Linked DNA regions of Macaca fascicularis. The protein of the gene in region 1 purifies or fractionates together with the protein of each later gene. This does not show direct contact. Links are inferred from orthologs where the notes say so. Each region holds a gene or a part of one and is shown in the gene's direction. Other genes may lie near its edges.

Evidence for each region.
Region 2: the proteins of COPG2 (region 1) and COPB2 fractionate together in Homo sapiens (co-fractionation; 4 studies listed by BioGRID and IntAct, with this or other methods). This does not show direct contact. The link is inferred for Macaca fascicularis from reciprocal best matches to the Homo sapiens genes COPG2 and COPB2.
Region 3: the proteins of COPG2 (region 1) and NUDCD1 purify together in Homo sapiens (co-immunoprecipitation; 3 studies listed by BioGRID and IntAct, with this or other methods). This does not show direct contact. The link is inferred for Macaca fascicularis from reciprocal best matches to the Homo sapiens genes COPG2 and NUDCD1.
Region 4: the proteins of COPG2 (region 1) and COPZ1 fractionate together in Homo sapiens (co-fractionation; 5 studies listed by BioGRID and IntAct, with this or other methods). This does not show direct contact. The link is inferred for Macaca fascicularis from reciprocal best matches to the Homo sapiens genes COPG2 and COPZ1.

What each region holds. Positions count from the first base shown.
Region 1 is NC_088377.1:172,181,431-172,187,254, reverse strand, and holds the start of COPG2 (coatomer subunit gamma-2), read left to right. Parts: upstream 1-1,795; 5' UTR 1,796-1,850; coding exon 1,851-1,887; intron 1,888-2,110; exon of another isoform or gene 2,111-2,312; intron 2,313-2,970; coding exon 2,971-3,023; intron 3,024-3,580; coding exon 3,581-3,661; intron 3,662-5,824. Other genes in the region: TSGA13 (testis-specific gene 13 protein), read left to right, coding at 1,336-1,505. UniProt on the Homo sapiens protein: The coatomer is a cytosolic protein complex that binds to dilysine motifs and reversibly associates with Golgi non-clathrin-coated vesicles, which further mediate biosynthetic protein transport from the ER, via the Golgi up to the trans Golgi network.
Region 2 is NC_088376.1:42,212,376-42,217,601, reverse strand, and holds part of COPB2 (coatomer subunit beta'), read left to right. Parts: intron 1-1,450; coding exon 1,451-1,537; intron 1,538-1,743; coding exon 1,744-1,870; intron 1,871-2,729; coding exon 2,730-2,878; intron 2,879-5,226. UniProt on the Homo sapiens protein: The coatomer is a cytosolic protein complex that binds to dilysine motifs and reversibly associates with Golgi non-clathrin-coated vesicles, which further mediate biosynthetic protein transport from the ER, via the Golgi up to the trans Golgi network.
Region 3 is NC_088382.1:118,840,103-118,845,328, reverse strand, and holds part of NUDCD1 (nudC domain-containing protein 1), read left to right. Parts: intron 1-2,238; coding exon 2,239-2,421; intron 2,422-5,226.
Region 4 is NC_088385.1:61,190,598-61,195,823, forward strand, and holds part of COPZ1 (coatomer subunit zeta-1), read left to right. Parts: intron 1-109; coding exon 110-178; intron 179-2,097; coding exon 2,098-2,179; intron 2,180-3,136; coding exon 3,137-3,228; intron 3,229-5,226. UniProt on the Homo sapiens protein: The coatomer is a cytosolic protein complex that binds to dilysine motifs and reversibly associates with Golgi non-clathrin-coated vesicles, which further mediate biosynthetic protein transport from the ER, via the Golgi up to the trans Golgi network.

The sequences.
Region 1 (5,824 bases):
AATTTCAGGGCACTGAGTACACATTTGTGATTAGATACATAATTGGTGGGTCCTCAGACTTCACCAGCTCATGGTTTTAAGACAAGGTTCATTTCTCCTACTAGCTTTCTCTCCTCAAGCAATTTCGGAGACTCCCTAAAGTATCCTTGCCTTTCCCACAAAGCCATTGTAGTGATTGCTCAACCCCTTTGCCAGCCATCCTCAGTCCAAATAGTCCTGATACCAGAGACCTGGAGTCATATTATACCATCCCTTAACTGGCTTCTTCAGGCTTCTCTGCTCCTGCTATACCTATTTGCCACCACACCCCACCCCATTTTCACCTACTGCTGCTCTTAATTCCGTAAACACTGCACAGCTAAAACCAACCTGTGGTATTAAACAAAACTTCATAGATACACAGAAAAGCTGAAGAACAGCAGAGAATGATTTATCTTGCTTTACAAGGGGCTAGTCTTAGGGTCAGCTTCAAATGTGAACTCAGGTCCTTCTACTTCCCAGCAGGTCTCCGGGGCATTACCCATTCTTGGGAACCTCTGGGCCTATTATCTACACTGTGTCTGCCTAGGTTCCCAATACTCTTGGGCCAAGGAAGAGGAAGAGGATGTTTCCTTCCCCAAAGCCTATTTATTTTCACCTCCAGAATAAATGCGTGCAGACTTCTATTTCCTTCAAGGAAAACTCCACCTACAAAGTATAACTTGAACTTTACAAGCCATATAAAGCAAACATAGTAGTTAATAATAGTACATTTAGCCAAGCCGGAGGTAAATCTTAAATGATACCATATGTAGGATATCAACAGTTCATCTTAAATCTATATTTAAGGGAAAGAATTTCCCTAGGATGTAGAATGTAATCTAGGTTAGAATTTCTCTAATTTTGCAGGGGCACGATCCTGTTGAGTATAGACTCAATTTACATTTCTAAACAGTAATGCCACTGAAGCCAAAGGCAAAGTTTCTTAGCCACGCTCTTAGACAAGAGAACAGAAAGCCAGCATACACTCAGAAAGAGGAACATGAGTTAGGAATGAATGCACGTTAATTTAGAGAGTTTCTTAAGTGTCAATATGGTGTCAGACGGAATCACTGGAAGAAGTAGGCTTGAACAAAGAAGGCTCTAAACAGGCAGTGTGTTTTACACTGGGTTTTGATGAAATGAAGGAATCCAAAAACTATAAAATAGGTTGGGAATGGTATTACACGGTCCGAAATCTTTAAAGACCAGCCTTTAAAGGTCCCTTCAAGTGGGTCTCCTTCATATCTCACATTAAGCATCCTTCGAGTACTTCTGAAAAGCCACGTTCACCAGGGTGCCTGTGCTTTGTCGTAGCTTCCAAGAAGTCAGCGAGTGAAAGGCCGATTTCCAAGGTGATTCGGGAACCACTGACACTCGCATCGCTCCTGGAAGAGATGCCCACCAGAACCGCGCCCGGGGAGAGCGCCTTCCGCAACGGGAGGGCCCCGCAGTGGATTATCAAAAAGGCCACGGTCATCGGGTGAACACAGAACCCTCAGTCCTCCCGCCTCGCTCTCCTGAGACTGAGGGGTCCGCAGAGGTCGCCAACCAAATAAAACCACATTCCTGCTGCTGCGGGCGTGGGCTCCCGGGTCACGGGCCGGGAGGGTCTGGCCCAAGCCTCCGGCGGCTGCGGAAGCAGGAGAGGGCGTGGTTGCGTCCCCGGGGGACGAGGGAGGCCGGGGAGGGCGGGCCTTGGCCCCGAGTGACGGCGCGGCGGCCCAACCGGCGTGAGAGCGCGGGGCCGGCCTTCCTGCAGCCTCTTCCGCTCTCCGGCTGCGGCGCCTGGGACGGTTGCGGTGGGTCTGGGCGTTGGGAAGTCGTCCAAGATGATTAAAAAATTCGACAAGAAGGACGAGGAGTCTGGTACGCGCGGGGCTTCCGAGGCCCACCCTCAGCCGCGGGACGCCCCTTCCCCCGCCCGCCGCCACCTGCTTTCGGGCCGGCGGGGCTGGGGGCGTGGGCGCCGGCGTGCCAGGGGGCCGGAGCTGGAGCCGGCCCCTCCCCTCCCCTCGCGGCCGCCGGGGGCCTGCCCGTAGCCCCTCCCCCAGGCGCCGGAGCCTCCCTTCGGGCCGCGCGCTCCCGCCCCGGCGCCCGCGCGCGCCCCGCTCCTGCTGCGGCGCATCCGCTCCGAGCCGCCTCCGCCCCTTCGCGCGGGCCCCCGGCGGGGGCGAGAGCGTGCGCGCGTCTCCGCGGCCAGGGGTACTGGTAGGGTCGGACCCCGAGTGGGAGCACCCTGTTCCCGGGGCTGGGGTCGACGGCACAGGGTGTGTGTGTGGAGGAACATTCAGGTGCCTGGTACCTTATCGTTTTCCTGGGACCCCAGGCTCTGTCCGGTTCCCCGGGGGTAAGACTGTGCCTTGGGACACAGCTCGTTGAATGCTCAGGCGTCCAGAAGTGACCTGCGTTTTGATACCCGTCTTTGGTCCAGAGCAAATGGGGAAGATGCCAAGCATCCTCAAAAAGAAAAAAATCCCAGTGTTTGGTAGCATCTCCCACGGTGTGAGAGGGGGTTGGGTTAATCAACCTCCACGACCTCTTGAAGGTTTACGTCTGCGTGATTCTCTGGGAAACTTCGTTTCTGCCTCTCCTTAAGTGTTAGAAACACACAAACTAGTGCTTACCTAAGGAAATCAGAAGCACCCTACCACAATCTCATTAATCTTCGTTGTGGAAATGACACATTTGTAACATTCATGGAAAAAGAGGGCAGGGAAAGAAGACACTCATTTTGGAGAGGGTTGCTGCAAAAGAGAAGTCTCAGCTCTTCGAGTGTGGCAGTGACGGAGCCAGGATCAGAATGATTTCATTTAGTTTGTATGCATATTAGCAATGATTATCACTGTGCCATCCAAGTGTTCACTTACCAAGCATTCAGTACCCTTCTCTGGAAAATACATAAGTTTGTGTAAAACAGCTATTCAGGACATTTTTTTGTTTTATACATAGGTAGTGGCTCAAATCCTTTCCAGCATCTGGAGAAGAGTGCTGTTTTACAGGAGGTATGACTGGGAAGCATTTTGTGCCTTTTCTTTTCTATTCTGTTTTAGAGTGGTGGGCAGCGAATTCCTGGGCTACTGTGATCACAACACCCAAAATAAGGAACGTAACAGAGTTTAGGGAATATAGATTTAAGGGAAAAGGAAGAGGGGTTACTTGTCACACGAGAATTTAGAGCTTATAGAAATGCAAAGACATGAAGACTGTTACAGGTTGGGAATTTTAAATATAAGAAGGGGTGTTTAGTGCAAGGTTATTGAAATCAGTTATCTGTATTAATGTCATTGTATTAGTATGATACAGATCAGTATTGTGATCCTTATTTAACTGGTATAGCCCGTAAAGTTGAAGTAGTCAACCTAAGGGAATGAGTTAGAAATAAATAGGATGGAAAATCAGGGCCACATGTAATAATTTATCAGATGCTTTAGTAAATTGAGAACTATAGACCATGTTCTTTGGATACTGTGATTAAAAATAGTCTGTATTAAAGTTGATTTGCTATAATCTATGATAGAAAAGGTAGAAAAATAACAGTGTTTTTTATGTTTTTTCATAGGCTCGTATATTCAATGAAACTCCAATCAATCCAAGAAGATGTTTGCATATTCTTACGAAAATTCTTTACTTACTAAACCAGGTAAATTACTTTTATTTTCCTCAGATAAGTGTGTCCTGGAATACAAATACTGAAGATTCAATGAAATACTTTCTGGAAAGTGTAAATATTTATTTATTTTAAATTCACTTAATTTTAACATATATAACGTTTGGTTAACAAAATAATATGTAAGACTTGAGTATGAGGACTATGACATATATAGGTTGAGTATACCTTATTTGCAATGCTCGGAACCAGAAGTGTTTTAGATTTCAGATTTTTTTGGATTTTGGAACATTTGCAGAATACATACTGGCTGTTCCTGCTCTGAGTATCCGAAATCCAAAATGCTCCAATGAGTGTCTCCACTGAGTGTTATACTGGCACTCAAAAAGTTTCTGATTTTGGAGCATTTCAGATTTTGGATTTTGAGATTAGAGATGTTTAACCTGTACTTCTTCTTCATTCTTGAGATCCTAAGCTAGTGATGCACGTAGTAGATTCTCAATAAATCCTTTGGTTTCAGTTTAATGAGTACTAGTTAGAACATATTGTTTACATGTGTTTGGAGATCTTCATGTTTTTCTGAAAATATAGTGCAAGATCAGGCAAATTCCAGGTATTTTCTTTCTTTTGTGTGTAATCATGATGTTTTAAAGCTTTGATTTTTAATATTCAGATTTTATATTTATTATCCCTACCTCACCATTGCTATTAAAATAATTCAGGGCAGTAGCTTAACCATTTTATGTGCCTTGATGTCCTTTTCTCTACATGGGGATTATGATAATACCTGTTACAGAGTTGTAATGACTAAATGAGATCATTAGTGTAAAGCACTGAGAATAGTACTGAACACATAGTAAGCATTCAGGAATAGTTTTCCTTCCATCATTCAGCAAATATTTATTGCATAGCTGCTGTGTCCTGTGCACTGTTTTAGGTGTTGGGGATATAGCAGACAAAACCAGCAAAAAATACTTGCACTCATGAAATACAGATTCTGCCTGCTACTATTGTTATTAATTTTCTTTTTTTTTTTTTGCCCCAGACTTTAAAAAAAAAAACTCATGTAATGTCTAGGGCCTTAGAAAATATGATTTTGTTTCATGGATTCATATTCCCTCAATAACAGTGGGGAATTGGTTCCAGGACCTCCATTGGATACTAAAGTCCATAGATGCTCAAGTCCCTCATACAAATGGTGTAGTATTTGCATATAACCTACACATATCCTCCCATATATTTTAAGTCATCTCTGTGATTATAATACCTAGGTTATAATCTCTAGATTATAATACCTGGTACAATGTTAGTGCTGTGTAAATAGTTGTTGTGCTGTATTGTTTAGGGAATAATGACAAGAAGAAGACATCTGTACATGTTCAGTACAAACCCAGTTTTTTTTTTCCTTGAATTTTTTTTTTTCAGGTCTGTTATAACTTTATTGATTTTATTTTTGCTTATCTTTTTTTTATTATTATTATACTTTAAGTTCTAGGGTACATGTGCACAATGTGCAGGTTTGTTACGTATGTATACATGTGCCATGCAGGTGTACTGCACCCATTAACTCATCATTTACATTAGGTATATCTCCTAATGCTATCCCTCCCCACAATAGGACCCAGTGTGTGATATTCCCCTTCCTGTGTCCAAGTGATCTCATTGTTCAGTTCCCACCTATGAGTGAGAACATGCAGTGTTTGGTTTTCTGATCTTGCGATAGTTTGCTGAGAATGATGGTTTCCAGCTGCATCCATGTCCCTACAAAGGACAGGAACTCATCCTTTTTTATGGCTGCATAGTATTCCATGGTGTATATGTGCCACATTTTCTTAATCCAGTCTGTCACTGATGGACATTTGGGTTGATTCCAAGTCTTTGCTATTGTGAATAGTGCTGCAATAAACATACGTGTGCATGTGTCTTTGTAGTAGCATGATTTATAATCCTTTGGGTATATGCCCAGTAATGGGATAGCTGGGTCAAATGGTATTTCTAGTTCTAGACCCTTGAGGAATCGCCACACTGTTTTCCACAATGGTTCAACTAGTTTACAGTCCCACCAACAGTGTAAAAGTGTTCCCATTTCTCCACATCCTCTCCAGCACCTGTTTCCTGATTTTTTAATGATTGCCATTCTAACTGGTGTTAGATGGTATCTCATTGTGGTTTTGATTTGCATTTCTCTGATGGCGA
Region 2 (5,226 bases), on another chromosome or scaffold:
CAGCTGCTTTATTTTTACTGCTTAGATCCCTGAGTTTGTTGGCTCCTCATGAGCTTTTGTGGATTTTTCTGCTGCATTACAGATTGCATGTTCTGTCTACTCTCAGTGTCTGTATTTTAGTCAGCTGGTAGTGATTCTGCAGGTTGGAGTTGAAGTGCCTACTCATTCAGCCTTTGTCTAAAGAATCTTTGAACTCTGGCTTGAAAAATCAGAGTGGGACAGTTCTTATGAACCGGTCCCTATTACTTTTTTAGTGCACATGGTTAATCAAGCAGTAAGATTATATTGGTTTCTTAGTTATTTCTTTTTTGCTCTCTGATACAAAAAAGGATTGGAAAATGATAGTTTGGCTTTCAGACTTTTAAGAACAGGCATCAAAGAAGGAGAACATAGAGGTATACCATTATCTCTGCTTTTTCTAGGAGGGTCTTCTAGTTTTCTACCTTTATCCTGTGTGTATAATTCCATTCTGAGTAGCTCAGAGGAAAATACAGGTCACTGTGTTTTCATTTAAAAAAAAAAATAAATAATAACATTTGTATGGAATCATATTGCTAAAGCATGCAAAAGAATTGTACCTTATTCATGAGTCACTTTTATGGGTTTCAATTTCAAAAAAACTGACTAGGTGTGGTGGCTCACGCCTGTAACCCCAGCACTTGGGAGGCTGAGACAGGTGGATCACTTGAGGCCAGGAGGTCGAAACCACCCTGGCCAACATGGTGAAACCCTGTCTGTACGAAAAATACAAAAATTTGCTTGGCATGGTGGCGCATACCTGTAATCCCAGCTACTTGGGTAACTGAAGCATAAGAATCACTTGAACCTGGGAGGCGATGGTTGCAGTGAGCCAAGATTGTGCCACTGTATTGCACTTCAGCCTGGGTGACAGAGTGAGACTGTCTCAAAAAAAAAGAAAAAAAGAAAAACTAAGAGCTAATTCATTCAACAAATACTTATTACACACTAATTTAGTGTGCCAGCCACTGTTCTAGCTTCTGTCTATACAGTGTGAAAAATATTCCTGCCTTTGGAGAGCTTGGCAGGAAAGATTCGCACAAACATAATTATGAGGTGCTACATTATGAAAGGGAAGTACAAGTTTCCATGGGTGGATTTTCAAGGCAGAGAGAACAAGAGCAGAGGTAAGGCTGGGAGTAGCCAAAGGTGAGGCTAGAAAAGAGAGGGAAGGGCTGGAGCACAGAGGATCTGGAATACCATCTTGTGGACATTTGCTTTCTCTTGTCTTTTAAAAAGTGTTTTAATTTTGAATCTATTAAAAGATAATTTGTCTTTTTAAAAAATTTTAGTGTTGACCTTTTATATTTTAGCCTGAAAATATATTAAAATGAGAAGTGATCTTAAAAATTGGATGTTTGAAATATAACAGAGTAGATTTTGTGGTTATTTTCTTACAGCTCAATTTGTGTATTCTTTTTACATTTTAAAGACACTGGTGAAGACATTTGAAGTATGTGATCTTCCTGTTCGAGCTGCAAAGTTTGTTGCAAGGAAGAATTGGGTTGTGACAGGAGCAGTAAGTAATTAATATGAATCTCTATTCCCGTTTTCTGAATTGGTGAATGATTATGTAAGTTAGTTGCAGGATTTCGATTCCTGGTTTGTTTTGTTAGTTACAGCACTGTTTTGAAGCATAGACTTCATTCCTTGAGCCTGTGATGCAGTTTTTTTGTATAATTTACTTGATAATAGGGATGATAGTTTTAAAATTTCTGTTTCTAGGATGACATGCAGATTAGAGTGTTCAATTACAATACTCTGGAGAGAGTTCATATGTTTGAAGCACACTCAGACTACATTCGCTGTATTGCTGTTCATCCAACCCAGCCTTTCATTCTAACTAGCAGTGGTAAGAGATGACCTATTTTGGTCATGTGCGTCTCTTTGGGTAATTCATTTTCATTCACTGAGACATGCTATTCTTTAACTGCTGTTACAAATAGAATTCTAATTCCAAGCAGCCTTTAAACTGTTTAGATCCATTACTGTGCTATTGATGCTGCTTGTGTTTGTACTTTAATGAAGTATCAACTGTACTTAGGATCTGTGTAATGATTGCTCCAATTCCTGTCAGAGAAGACCTACAAGTCTAGATGTTTAAACATCTGCTGAACAGAAAGGTCATTTACATGTTGATGAGTGAGTTTTTGGCAGATTGCCATAGAGCCTAGTCAGTTCAATCTTCATATTCAAACTAGTTTGCTCCTTGGTATTGTGTATAAATAGTAGACCTCTTGGAGGACTGGCAAAAGAGGTAGCACTGAATTGGTAATAGCTCTTTGAAATGTGTTTAAATTAAAAATTGAGAAGTAATTTAAAACTTTTTAAAAACCAGTCTTGTGAGGGCAAATGCTTGTTCTCTACATAGTCATTGCTATCAGTATTCAGTCACGCTTAGATTCTAATCAAACTTGTATGACTCTTTGCTCATTCTTTAATGCTCACTGAATTTTTAAGTTTTTTCACAAAATTTTTATATTTGCTATTTCTAATCTATTTTATTTATTTTATCTCCACTTTTCTGTAGAGAGTTAAATTTATTTTTAAGATAAATAAGCATTTTGAAAACGCTATTTGGTTTTGATTCTATTTCTGTAAGTCATGGATTATGTGGTTTATGTTAGGTTTGCTTCCCCTAAAGACTGTGTCTTACTTATGAAGTGAAAAAATAGAAATCACAACTAACTTGAGACTTTCTTTTGGCCTAGATGACATGCTTATTAAGCTCTGGGACTGGGATAAAAAATGGTCTTGCTCACAAGTGTTTGAAGGACACACCCATTATGTTATGCAGATTGTGATCAACCCCAAAGATAACAATCAGTTTGCCAGTGCCTCTTTGGACAGGACTATCAAGGTAGGGTGTCCACAGTTTGTGTCAGTTATCATTATTAGTGAACTATACTTGCCTTAGGTGTTTTACTATTGACTGGCCAGAAATTGATCCATCTTAAAAGTTTTTTTCAAAAGTCTATTTTGAAGTAAAAATAGGATTTCTCATTTTAATCCAAAGGACATGTTCTGTTTTGAAAAATATTGTGGCAACTCAGTGCTCTTAATGAGGAGTGTTTTTCTGTGTGGAAGCAGCATGTTATAAAAATTTTTTAGCCTTTGGAAACCCAGAATAAGAAAAATGCCAGTATCCTTTCTAGGATACTACTTTCCTCTCCTTTCAGTATTCATTGTTGACTTCTGCTCATCGTTCATCTATTTTACATTTAAATTCCATATGCCTCTATTCTGTCTTTCTTACTCCATTTCACCACATTGCTGTCTGTTATCTTCCTGAAACATAGATTGCATCTTGTCAGTTCCTGATCTAAGGATAAAGTCCAAATGCCTTAGTGTGGAATACAAGGATTTCCAAGACTAGCCTGGGCTAATATTATGCGACATCTCCTAAAACCCTGGTCTACTCACCATCCTCTAGAGGCCATGAATGTTCACAAAACCTTACTTCATTGAACTTTTCCATCTGCCTGCACTTCTCTTTATTTTCCTGTTTTGATATTTTTTTCCTCCGGAGAACTACTCAGCTTTTAAGGCTTAGCACAAATATTTACTCTTGAGAAGCTCTTGTCAGACATCCACTTCATCTCTAGGCAGAGCCAGTTATGCTTATCCCATTTCTTCCATTGCTTTTTGCCTCTGTTTCAGCCTTTCTCAGAATGAATTTTAATTACATGTTTTTGAAAATCTTTATCCCCTGAAATACTGAATTTTGGGGGTAGAAACTATGTGTCACTCCCTTTCCCCAAACATTCAGTAGCAAACAGCAAAGTGCCTTACCTGATCTAGGTGCTTAATACATGTTGCAATGAGGGCAATCATGCTCCCTTTTTAAATCATAATATTTAAAATATTTCCATGCTGGGCGTGGTGGCTCACGCCTGTAATCCCAGCACTTTGGGAGGCCAAGACGGGCTGATCACAAGGTCAGGAGATCAAGACCATCCTGGCTAACATGGTGAAACCCTGTCTCTACTAAAATTCAAAAAATTAGTTGGTCGTGGTGGTGGGCGCCTGTAGTCCCAGCTACTCAGGAGGCTGCGGCAGGAAAATGCCTTGAACCTGGGAGGCGGAGCTTGCAGTGAGCCAAGATCACGCCCCTGCACTCCAGCCTGGGCGACAGAGCGAGACTCCATCTAAAAATAAATAAATAAATAAATAAAATAAAATATTTCCATATGCATTGAATTAAAATAAATTAACTTTTGCTTACACGCTTGCTTTCACCTATATAAAACACTGTTACTAGTTTTCCTTTATGTAAAATGTTATGTGTCTGAATATCTTAGGGTTTTGACCTTAGTTATTTTGCCTTTGGATTTTCCTTGCTTTTGACATAGATTAACTTTGAAATTAGTTGTAAACTTTTGTTTTACTAAATTAGGTTTATCTTGAGAGCAAGAATTGTCTTATCTTCAGTTCCAGTAAAGTTTATTTTATACAGTAATTGATAAACATTTGTTACACATATTTATACTCCCCACAGGGCCTCCCATATGGTAGGCACTCAGTAAATATTTGTAAAGATAAAGCTTAATTCTGTGCTGTGGTAATTTTTAACAATTTTCTACATTTTAAATTTTTAGGCAGTAATTTTCTCCTTTAAATATATCTTCATTTTTATTTATTTATATATTTTTGAGTTATGGTCTGTGTTGCCTAGGCTGGAGTGCAGTGTCATGATCACAGCTTACTGTAACCTCAAACTTCTGGGCTAAAGCGATCCTCCTGCCTCAGCCTCCTGAGTTGTTAGGACTACATGCGTGTGCCTTCACGCCCGGCTAACTTTTTACTTTTTCCTTTTTTGTAGAGGCAAGGTCTTGCTGTGTTGCCCAGATTGGTCTTGAGCTCCTGGGCTCAAGTGATCCTTCCACCTCAGCCTCCTAAAGTGCTGGGATTACAGGTGTGAGCCACCACACCTAGCCACTTTTAATATATCTTACTAAATCCACTTTCATGAGGTGTATATTGAATCTATAATAAAATAATTTCATACCCTTAAAGTGGTGTTTTTCAAAGTCTTAAACATCTAGATTCCTGGGCTTCACTGTGGATTGACTGAATTATAATCTCTAGAGATAAAGCCTGAAAATTGGCACTTCTTTTAAAGAACGCCATAGTGATTTTGGCTCCTGAGAATTCAAGTAAAATGAGAAATAACAAAAACCAAACAGTATAAAAAATAAAATTTCATAG
Region 3 (5,226 bases), on another chromosome or scaffold:
TCCAATCATACTTTATGGACATTGAAATTTGAATTTTATGTTTTTTTGACATATATTTAAATATTCTTTAAATATTACCATTTTAACAATTTAAAAATATAAAATTCATGCTTAGCTCATAGGCCATACAAAAGTAGACCTAGATTCAGCTTTGACTCAAGGGTCCTAGTTTGCAGAACCCCTGCTTTGGATAATGGAAACCTTAATTTTTTTAAGGTATATAATTCAGAATCTTACAGGAGACACTGTCATGCATATTCCTCCTCCTTTCTCCAAGACACTTGCTTCTGTAACATCTTTTTCTCAGTCTGTGGTAACTCATCAAATTGCCTCAAAACATAGCAGTACTCTGCTCCAGCTCTATCTTCTCCATCCCCTTTGTCTTCATTTCTTTGCCTCAACTGGACAGATACATTGAGACTAACCTTTTTTCTCCCAAGATTGTAGTTGTAGAATCATTAATTCTCTTTATTGTTCCCTTTATCTTTCTTTTATATCTTGTTCCTTCTCTCCCAGACTATTACTAATATGATTTTTTTCTTTTTCTTTTTCTTTTTAATTAACAGAACTGTGTTTTTGTAAACTATTTTGAATGAAACATTTCATAAATTATATTTATGGTCACATAAGTTTGAAAATGTGGGCATAAAATAACTCCATTACATATTAAGCATATTAAAGTTGCTAAAAATTGTGAGTAAAAAAAATTTAGGCTAGATGCAGAGGCTCATACCTATAATCTCAGCACTTTGGGAGGTCAAAGCAGGCAGATCACTTGAGCCCAGGAGTTTGAGATCAGTCTGGGCAACATAGTGAGGCCCTGTCTGTACAAAAATTACAAAAACATTAGCTCGGCATGGTGGTGTGCACCTATAGTCCCAGCTACTCTGGATGCTGAGGTGGGAGGATTGCTTGAGCCTGAGAGTTTGAGGCTACAGTGAGCTGTGATCGTGCCACTGCATTTTAGCTTGGGCAACAGAGCAAGGCCCTGTCTCAAACAAACAAAAAAATTTATGCTTAATTTTAACCTAGCATTTCTCCACATATTTAACCATGGAATCCAGTGTTTTAGAATTCCTATTCCTTTCTGTCCCATGCATGTTGGGAAAGGCCACCCTAGAAATATGTAATGTCTGTGTTTGGATCTTTAAAGTCGAGTAGGACTTTTGGCCCTGCTTGTATCTATAGGGGAAGTGTAGGAGTTTTGTTCATTCATTAAATTACAAGCCTGTCCTTAAATATGTGTGAATTGAATGTGTGAATGTAGGTGAGGATTTTGAGTAAAACCAATGAGATATTTTAGAACAGATGGTATTATTATGTAAAAACTCATAATAATATGACATTGAGTTGTGATGTTTGACTACTCAGTATGAAGCCTACAAGTACAACCCACTTTAAAGAGTAACAGTATAGGTAAAAGTATGGAGTCAGCTAAAATATTTGAGTACTTTTTAAAGCAAAAAATTACTGTCTTTATAGGAAAATAAATTCAATTTGTCAGAAACTTTTGGAATACAGTTAATTGTTTATATCTTAAAAGTAGCACTAATTTATGTTTAATTATAAGCATATAGATAAATGTCTTGAGTGGGTAAAAAAAATTATTTCTGCTATAAATTTATTTCATTGTTAAAATGCCCCTTATCAGGAGTTAGAGCAGGCAGAAAAATAGTCCACACTGCATGTTTCCCCTTGTCCTCAATTTGTGACTTTTCAGAAGATGCTTATCACATACCTGCTGAGAAGGCAGACAGGCTTTAGTCAAGGAGAGGTAGGTCATACAGAAGTTGTTATTCCAAGTAAGCCAGTCATGTTGGAGTTCTGGGGCACTGCTGTCTAATAGAGATTTCTCCAAGATGGACATGTCTTATATGTGTACCATTCACTGCAGTAACTACTAGCCATGTGTAGCTGTTGAGCAATTAAAATGTGGCTAGTGTGACTGAGGAATTTAAATTTTACTTAATTTTAAGTAGCCACTTGTGGCCAGTGACTACCACATTGGACAGGACAATCAGGAATAAATTTCACCAGACCCAGCATTTTAAAATAGGGACTTATTTACAGAAAATTAGGTTGTAAATTGTTTACCTTATGAAAAGACTCTTAATAGTATACCTTTTAATAGTACATTAAAAGTATTTAATTATAATTAAAATCAATATTTAAGTATCAGAATGTTTTGATAATAGTTTTTATTTGTAATGTTTTGTTCTAAAATACTTTTTCTTACAGATAAGAAAAAATATGAAATTATTAAGCGTGATATTCTCTGTGGAAAGTCAGTGCCACATTATGCTGCTATTGAGCCCGATGGAAATGGTCTAATGATTGTATCCTACAAGTCTTTCACATTTGTTCAGGCTGGTCAAGATCTTGAAGAAAATATGGATGAAGACATGTCAGAGAAAATCAAAGGTAATTTTTATTCTTAAAAGTACTTGTTTGTATTTGCGTAAACATATATTTGTCTTTTGTTTTCCCAGTTAATAGTTCTACACGGGCAAGATAAATGCATAATTTTTTCTTTATTTTCTCATATATTTTCCAGAAGTCTTTTGGAACGTATACCACCGTAATAGTGTGAATGAACTGGTTTAATTTGATCATTTTGTTATTACCAAAATGTTTTTTTAAAAATCGTTTATTAGCTTTCTTGATTAGATGCTTAATAAATAGTTATCAAATAAATAAATAATGTCTATTTGCTATTAGTATTGATGGTATTAATAGTGTAATATTGAAGATACTAATTTTTAAAAATAAATTAAGCTAACCTACCTGTTCTTACCTTTTATACTAAACTGAAAGTAAGTTCCTTGAGGGCAGAATCACATAATTTTATCAATGTTGAATGAATGCATGAAGGTTATGTTTTAGCATGAAAAGACTGGCCAGACACAGTGGCTCACGCCTGTAATCCCAGCACTTTGGGAGGCCTAGGCGGGCGGATCACAAGGTCGGGAGATCGAGACCATTCTGGCTAACACGATGAAACCCCATCTCTACTAAAAGTACAAAAAAAAAATTTGGGCACAGTCCCAGGCAACTGTAGTGCCAGCTACTTGGGAGGCTGAGGCAGGAGAATCGCTTGAACCCAGGAGGCAGAGGTTGCCGTGAGCCGAGATTGTGCCATTGCAGTCCAGCTTGGGCGACAGTGAGACTCTGTCTCAAAAAAAAAAAAAAAGATAAGACTAACAAGAAATTTCAGAAGAAATTTATATTTGTAAATAAAGAACAGACATTCTTTAAAAACTATTCAAGAGAACATTCCTCTGTAATAATTACTGTTCATATTTCTGATGTTCATAGCCAGAGAATAGTATATTTTACTTAACAGAGATTTTTACAATATTTAATACTTATACATATTTTTCTTTGAATCTACCTTTTTTGTTAAACAAGTTAATTATTTAAAAAAATTGGTTTTACCTTTTTATTTTTAAGTGAAATCACATTGATTAAGAAAGTAAGGAAATAAAAGAATGGCTACTCCATAAGCAGAGCAACCTAGGTTTAATATTTTTGGATGCCTTAAAAAATGAATTATTTGAAAAATATTTGAAAATATTAATGTAGTGTATAATTGAAAAATATTTTCCACAGAGTTTATAAATATATGCACCTCTGAATACAAATCTTGAACTTAGTAGGCCTTTAGACTTTTAACACCTTGGTTTCCTCATATGGGATTCGTTTTTTGTTAGATTATCTCTAAGATCCTTTCCTGAATAAATGTTACTATTCTGTCTAATTAGGATGCTAACCTCATCTAAAGCTTAGCCAGAATAGCTATTTATTTCTCTAGATCATGTGTCTTTAGAATTCCTTTGGTAAGCAATTGTGAGGGAGTAGAATGAATGCCTTAATCTTTGGAGCCATTCTGCCCAGATAACTTGGAACCATGTAGTTCCAAGAGAGATTGAAGCCTAAGTGGGACACATCATGTGTTTAAATTACTACCACAGGTATTGTTTTTCTTGATAACATCTCATGCTATATCTTGACTTCCCCCCAAATTCATTGTTTATTTTGTCATAGGATTTTCACAGTAATAAAGGAAAAGTGTTGTAATTTTTAAAAATTATGGGTAGTTTGGTCATTGATTGGCATGTGTAATACTTTCTGAATATTAATATATATACTGGTTTCCTTTCTGTTAACTTCAGGAAGACTGGTATTATCTATTGGCTGTTTGGCATTTTAATAATATGTTTTTAAAGACCTAAAACACAATCTCTAAAGGCATAGAAAGGTACTCAAAGAAACCAATAATTAAGAAAATTATTTCGGTGTTTGCATACATTCAACAATGTATACAGTGGAGAGGTGATTAAAAAATTGTGACTTTCCCTTTAGTCTACATCCATGGCCTTTAATTAATTAATACATTTTTAAAATTTCAACTTTTATTTTAGATTCAGGGAGTACATGTGAATGTTGTTTTACCTGGGTGTATTTGCATGGTGCTGAGATTTGGGGTACGATTGATCCTGTCACTCAGGTACTGAGCATAGTACCCAACAGTTATTTTTTAAACCCTTTCTAGCCCCTCTAGTAGTCCGTAGTGTGTGTTGTTGCCATCTTTATGTCCATGAGTACCCAGTGTTTAGCTCACACTTATAAGTGAGATCATGTGGTGTTTGGTTTTCTGTTCCTGCACTAATCTGCATAGGATTATGGCAACTTGCTATATTCATGTGTCTGCAAAGGACATGATTTTGTTCTTTCACCTGGCTGTATAGTATTCCATGGTGTATATGTGCCACATTGTTTTTTTCAGTCCGCTGTTGATGGCCACCTATGTTGATTCCATGTCTTTACTGTGGTGAATAGTGCTGTGATGAACATACTAGCCCATGTGTCTTTTTGGCAAAAAAATTACATATATATATATATATATCCAGTGTTGAGATTACAGGGTTGAACTGTAGTTCTGTTTTAAGTTCTTTGAGAGATCTTCAAACTGCTTTCCACAGGGGCTGAATTAATTGACATTCCCACCAATAGTGTATCAGCATTCTCTTTTCTCCACAGCCTTATCGGCATGTGTTGTTTTTTGACTTTTTAATAACCATTCTGACTGGTGTGAGATGATACTATCCTTGTAGTTTTGATAGTGCTGATGATTAGTGATGAGTATTTTTGCATGTTGGCCATTTGTATGTCTTGTTTTGCGAAGTGCTGTTCATGTCTTTTGCCTATTTTTTAATGGAGTTATTT
Region 4 (5,226 bases), on another chromosome or scaffold:
AGAGGTACCTCTGTATCCCCTTGCAGCCCCAATGGGACTAGGGGAAGGTATCTGGTTTACCAGTGGTGGTGGGAGCCTCAGGACTGAAGGTGTGTTCGTATCTCTTCAGGAACCTTCCCTGTATACTGTCAAAGCCATCCTGATTCTGGACAATGATGGAGATCGACTTTTTGCCAAGGTGAGATTCCCTTTTGAATTAGTTTAGGAACAACACAAAGGTTTATTCTGAGATTTGAATCTTGGGACTGATCCCCTATTAACTCATGTTGCTCAGTAGTATAATTTTGAGAACACTTCCATCTTTTTTTTTTTTTTTTGAGACAGAGTCTCGCTCTGTAGCCCAGGCTGGAGTGCAGTGGCGCGATCTTGACCTGGGCTCACTGCAAGCTCCGCCTCCCGGATTCACGCCATTCTCCTGCCTCAGCCTCCTGTGTAGCTGGGACTACAGGCGCCCACCACCGCGCCCGGCTAATTTTTTGTATTTTTAGTAGAGACGGGATTTCACCGTGGTCTCGATCTCCTGACCTCGTGATCTGCCCGCCTCGGCCTCCCCAAGTGCTGGGATTACAAGCGTGAGCCACCGCGCCCGGCCTTTTTTTTTTTTTTTTTTGAGATGGAGTTTCGCACTTGGCGCCCAGCCTGGAGTGCAGTGGCACAACCTTGGCTCACTGCAACCTCTGCCTCCTGGGTTCAAGCAATTCTCCTGCCTCAGCCTCCTGAGTAGCTGGGATTACAGGCACACACTACCACACCCGGCTAATTTTTTGTATCTTTAGTAGAGACAGGGTTTCGCCATGTTGGCCAGACTGGTCTTGAACTCCTGACCTCATGATCCGCCCGCCTCGGCCTCCCAAAGTGTTGGGATTACAGGTGTGAGCCACCATACTCAGCCTGAATTCTTCCATCTTATCTTGCCTACTCCAGATAAAACCTGTTTTCTTTTGTCCCTTTGTTGTACTGCTGCCCTGCTTACTGTCCTCAGACTTTGACCTCCTTTGTTGTCAGCATCAGATTAGGAAAAAGCTTTGATACCTTGGTTCCTAACAAAGCAGTATGTAGATGCTAAGAGGCAGTCTGCCCATGTCCATCATTCCTGTCCCCTTCTCTTCTACCATGTCACCCTGCCTGGGTTTTTCCAGAGAATTCTCTTGCAGTTCCAAGGTTCCATTCCTAGGTCTATAGTCACCATCAAGCTTGTTACCTCCTGACTTTCCCAGAGTGATGTTTTCAACTTTGGATCTGTTGGAAGAAAGAAGAAAGGACACCCCTCTCTCCCTCCATATTCTCCCCCTCCTGTAGAAATTTCTTCTGTCCCTGGTGTATTAACTCAGGGCGAGCATAGCATAAATCAATCAGCAGGTAGAGATTAGTTTAGAATTCACCAGCTGTTCCTCCCTGTAATTGGATGTAACTATGCAGGACACCTTTTGAAACAGTTATCCAGTTACTAAATGCCAGACCTGTCATAGGTCTTCAGCTGACTGCAACGGATTAGCCCCTAAAGAGCTAGCGATTTAGCAGCCTGCATCTCCGCCCCCTTGCCAGGGAGAGCCTGGGAATGGGCTCAGTGGTATGCTGGATGCTTCTTTCAGCTTGCAGAAAAGAAAGCTAAGATAGACTATAGGGCAGGGTTTGCCTTTCTTTGGAGGAGGTTTTTGTAGCCTTTCCCCATGCCTCAGCTTCATACAGTGAGTGAGGGTCTATGGAGGTGTTCTGTGCTTCTAGTGTTTTTTGTGTTCTCTGGCACTGTTTCCTGACATGGGGTAGCTCCTAGGAAACACTTGATGAGAATGGTTTAGGAGAGGTCTAGATTGCAGACAGGCACAGAGCCTCACCGTAGGGCTGGTAGGCTTCTGCCTTCAGACAGTCTTAGAAATGTGAGGTGGGGTTGCTTATGGCAGGATCTTTTATTTATTTTTCTTAGATTACTCACTGCCCATTCTCTGCCTCTACAGTCCTTCCTTTTCCATGTCAGTATTTCTCCCTTGCCCCATGCCTTGAAGGAGAGAAATCCAAGATCCCAGGGCAAAGCATAGTCACTAATCATTCTGGCTTCCAGCTGTAGTGACCCAACCCTGTCTCCTTCCCTCTGACCAGTACTATGACGACACCTACCCCAGTGTCAAGGAGCAAAAGGCCTTTGAGAAGAACATTTTCAACAAGACCCATCGGACTGACAGTAGGTCATTTTCCTTTCACTACTCCCCGTGTTGTGGGGAACCATGGTGGAAAGGGGGTGGTAGCAGGGCTGCGGAGAAAGGATAAAATGACTCTGCCTCCTTTTTTTTTTTTTCCTTCCTCCCCTTGTATAATAAACTCTTCAGAATGTAATGGGGAGGTGAGTGTACCTCACGCGGGAATACCATGCTGGAAGGTTGGCTGTTAGCTACCTGTCTAGTCCCTGGATTTATGAGCCTCACTTGACAAATTTAACTGCAGCTCTGCTTATTGTACCGCATCCATTAGGGCAGGTAAATGGAAGTCTGTAAAGGTGACCGCTCTGCATTTTCACCTCCGAAGGATCGACTAGTATCCTGTCTCATATGCAAGGAGGGAAATAGGTATAGTGGGCAGGAACAGAGGATGGTGGTTAGAGAAGATACATTTAGACTCCCCCAAGTTTATGCTTCTCTTCTGCCACCACCCAAGAAGTGCAGATCATCTTCTGGCTTTGGAGGTCATTACAGTTGGCCTCACCTTAGCCCAAAACAGCTGGATACTAGGAATTCACGGTAATAGCTTTTTTTTTTTCCTTTTTTTTTGAAATAGAGCCTTTCTCTGTCACCTAGGCTGGAGTGCAGTGGCACGATCTTGGCTCACTGCAGCCTCCGCCTCCCAGGTTCAAGTGGTTCTCCCATCTCAGCCTCCCGAGTAGCAGGGATTACAGGTGCACACCACCACGCCCGGCTAATTTTTGTATTTTTAGTAGAGATGGGGTTTCACCATGTTGACCAGGCTGGTCTTGAACTCCTGACCTTAGGTGATCCACGCGGCTCAGCTTCCCAAGGTACTGGGATTACAGGCGTGCAAGGTGCTGGGATTACAGGCGTGAGCCACTGCACCTGGCTGATAACTCCTTCTTTCCTACTTCCTCATCTCAGGCCACCCACTCTTTCTACTTTTTTTCCCCCACCAGGTGAAATTGCCCTCTTGGAAGGCCTGACAGTGGTATACAAAAGCAGTATAGATCTCTATTTCTATGTGATTGGCAGCTCCTATGAAAATGAGGTAAGAATCCCTACTACCCCTTTGCTATTTCTGATCCTACTTTCTAAACCACAGGCAGTACATAGCCACTGGTTTGGGGCCCTGATAGAGCCGTGTTCCTCTAGCTTCTGACCAAGTTAATGAAGTTGTCAGAGATCCCACCAGCCTCACAAACATGGCCCGGCAAATGAATCGCCTAGAAAGGAAGTTTTCCTAGATTGATCTTTTATATCCATTAGGAAACATCATATATGTTTTAATACCCTTCCCTGAGTAGTATTTTTTTTTTTTTTTTTTTTTTTTTTGAGACGGAGTCTTGCTCTGTCGCCCAGGCTGGAGTGCAGTGGCCGGATCTCAGCTCACTGCAAGCTCCGCCTCCCGGTTCTACGCCATTCTCCTGCCTCAGCCTCCTGAGTAGCTGGGACTACAGGCGCCCGCCACCTCACCTGGCTAGTTTTTTGTATTTTTTTAGTAGAGATGGGGTTTCACTGTGTTAGCCAGGCTGATCTCGATCTCCTGACCTCGTGATCCGCCCGTCTCGGCCTCCCAAAGTGCTGGGATTACAGGCTTGAGCCATCGCGCCCGGCCCGAGTAGTATTTTTTAAGATGGATTTCTGAGGTATGGTCAAGATTGCAGGGAGATACTTGCTCCTTCTATGAAGGGTCCATACCTGACTGAGTTTGAGCCAATTAGCTAACAACCTGGGTCGTGTTGAAACCATACATTCTGAATGGGTCACTTGAGAAGACCTTGGGTATAGTCCTAACCTGCTTCCTATATACAGAAAAAGCTATTTGCCTCAGGTAGCAAATTCTAGGAGAATAGATAAATAAAAATAAGCCCCCAGATAATTTGAGGCAAAAGTCAAAGTTTGAGAAAGTCAACTCTTACTGAGCTCTTATTATTGGTATAAGTGCTTTGTAAAGTACATTGTTATTTAAACCTTGCAGCACTTCCATGAGTTGTAGGCATTAGTGCCTTTGTTTTACAAATGAGGAAACCAAACCATGAAGAACCATAAGAAATTACTTGTGTGTGACCCTTGTGAAAACTACAAAAGTGGCAGTTTGATGTAGTTTAACCTAATAACTTTCTCAGGGTCACACATGTAGAAAATGGCTTAGCTTGGATTCAAACCCGTATCTGTCTGACTTAAAGTCCATGCTTTTTAAGAAATTTTGAGACATAGGCCGGGCGCAGTGGCTCATGCCTGTAATCCCAGCACTTTGGGAGGCCAAGGCGGGTGGATCACTTGGGGTCATGAGATCGAGACCATCCTGGCTAACACAGTGAAACTGCATGTCTACTAAAAATACAAAAAATTAGCTGGGTGTGGTGGCAGGCATCTGTAGTCCCAGCTACTCGGGAGGCTGAGGTAGGAGAATGGCGTGAACCCGGGAGGCGGAGGTTGCAGTAAGCTGAGATCGCGCCACTGCCCTCCAGCCTGGGCAACAGAGCGAAACTCCGTCTCAACAACAACAACAAAAATTAGTTGGGTGTGGTGGTGGACGCCTGTAATCCCAGCTACTTGGGAGGCTGAGGCAGGAGAATTGCTTGAACCTGGGAGGTGGAGGTTGCAGTGAGCTGAGATTGCGCCATTGCACTCCAGCCTGGGCGACAAGAGTGAGACTCTCAAAAAAAAAAAAAAAAAAAAAATTGAGACAGGGTTCTTGTTCTGTCTCCCAGGCTGGATTGCAGTGGTGCAGTCTTGGCTCACTGCAACCTCTGGCTCCCAGGCTCAAGTGATACTCCTGCCTTAGCCTCCCAAGTAGCTGGGACTGCAGGTGCCCACCACCATGCCGGCTAATTTTTTTTGTATTTTTTGTAGAGACGGGGTTTTGCCATGTTGCCCAGGCTGGTCTCAACTCCTGAGCTCAAGCAATCTGCCTGCCTCGGCCTCCGAAAGTGCTGGGATAGAGTCAGGGTCTAGACAGGGTCTAGATGTTACAGGTGTGAGCCACTGTGCCCAGCCAATTAAAGTCCATGCTTTTTACACTAACTCTACAGCCTTCCTGTCA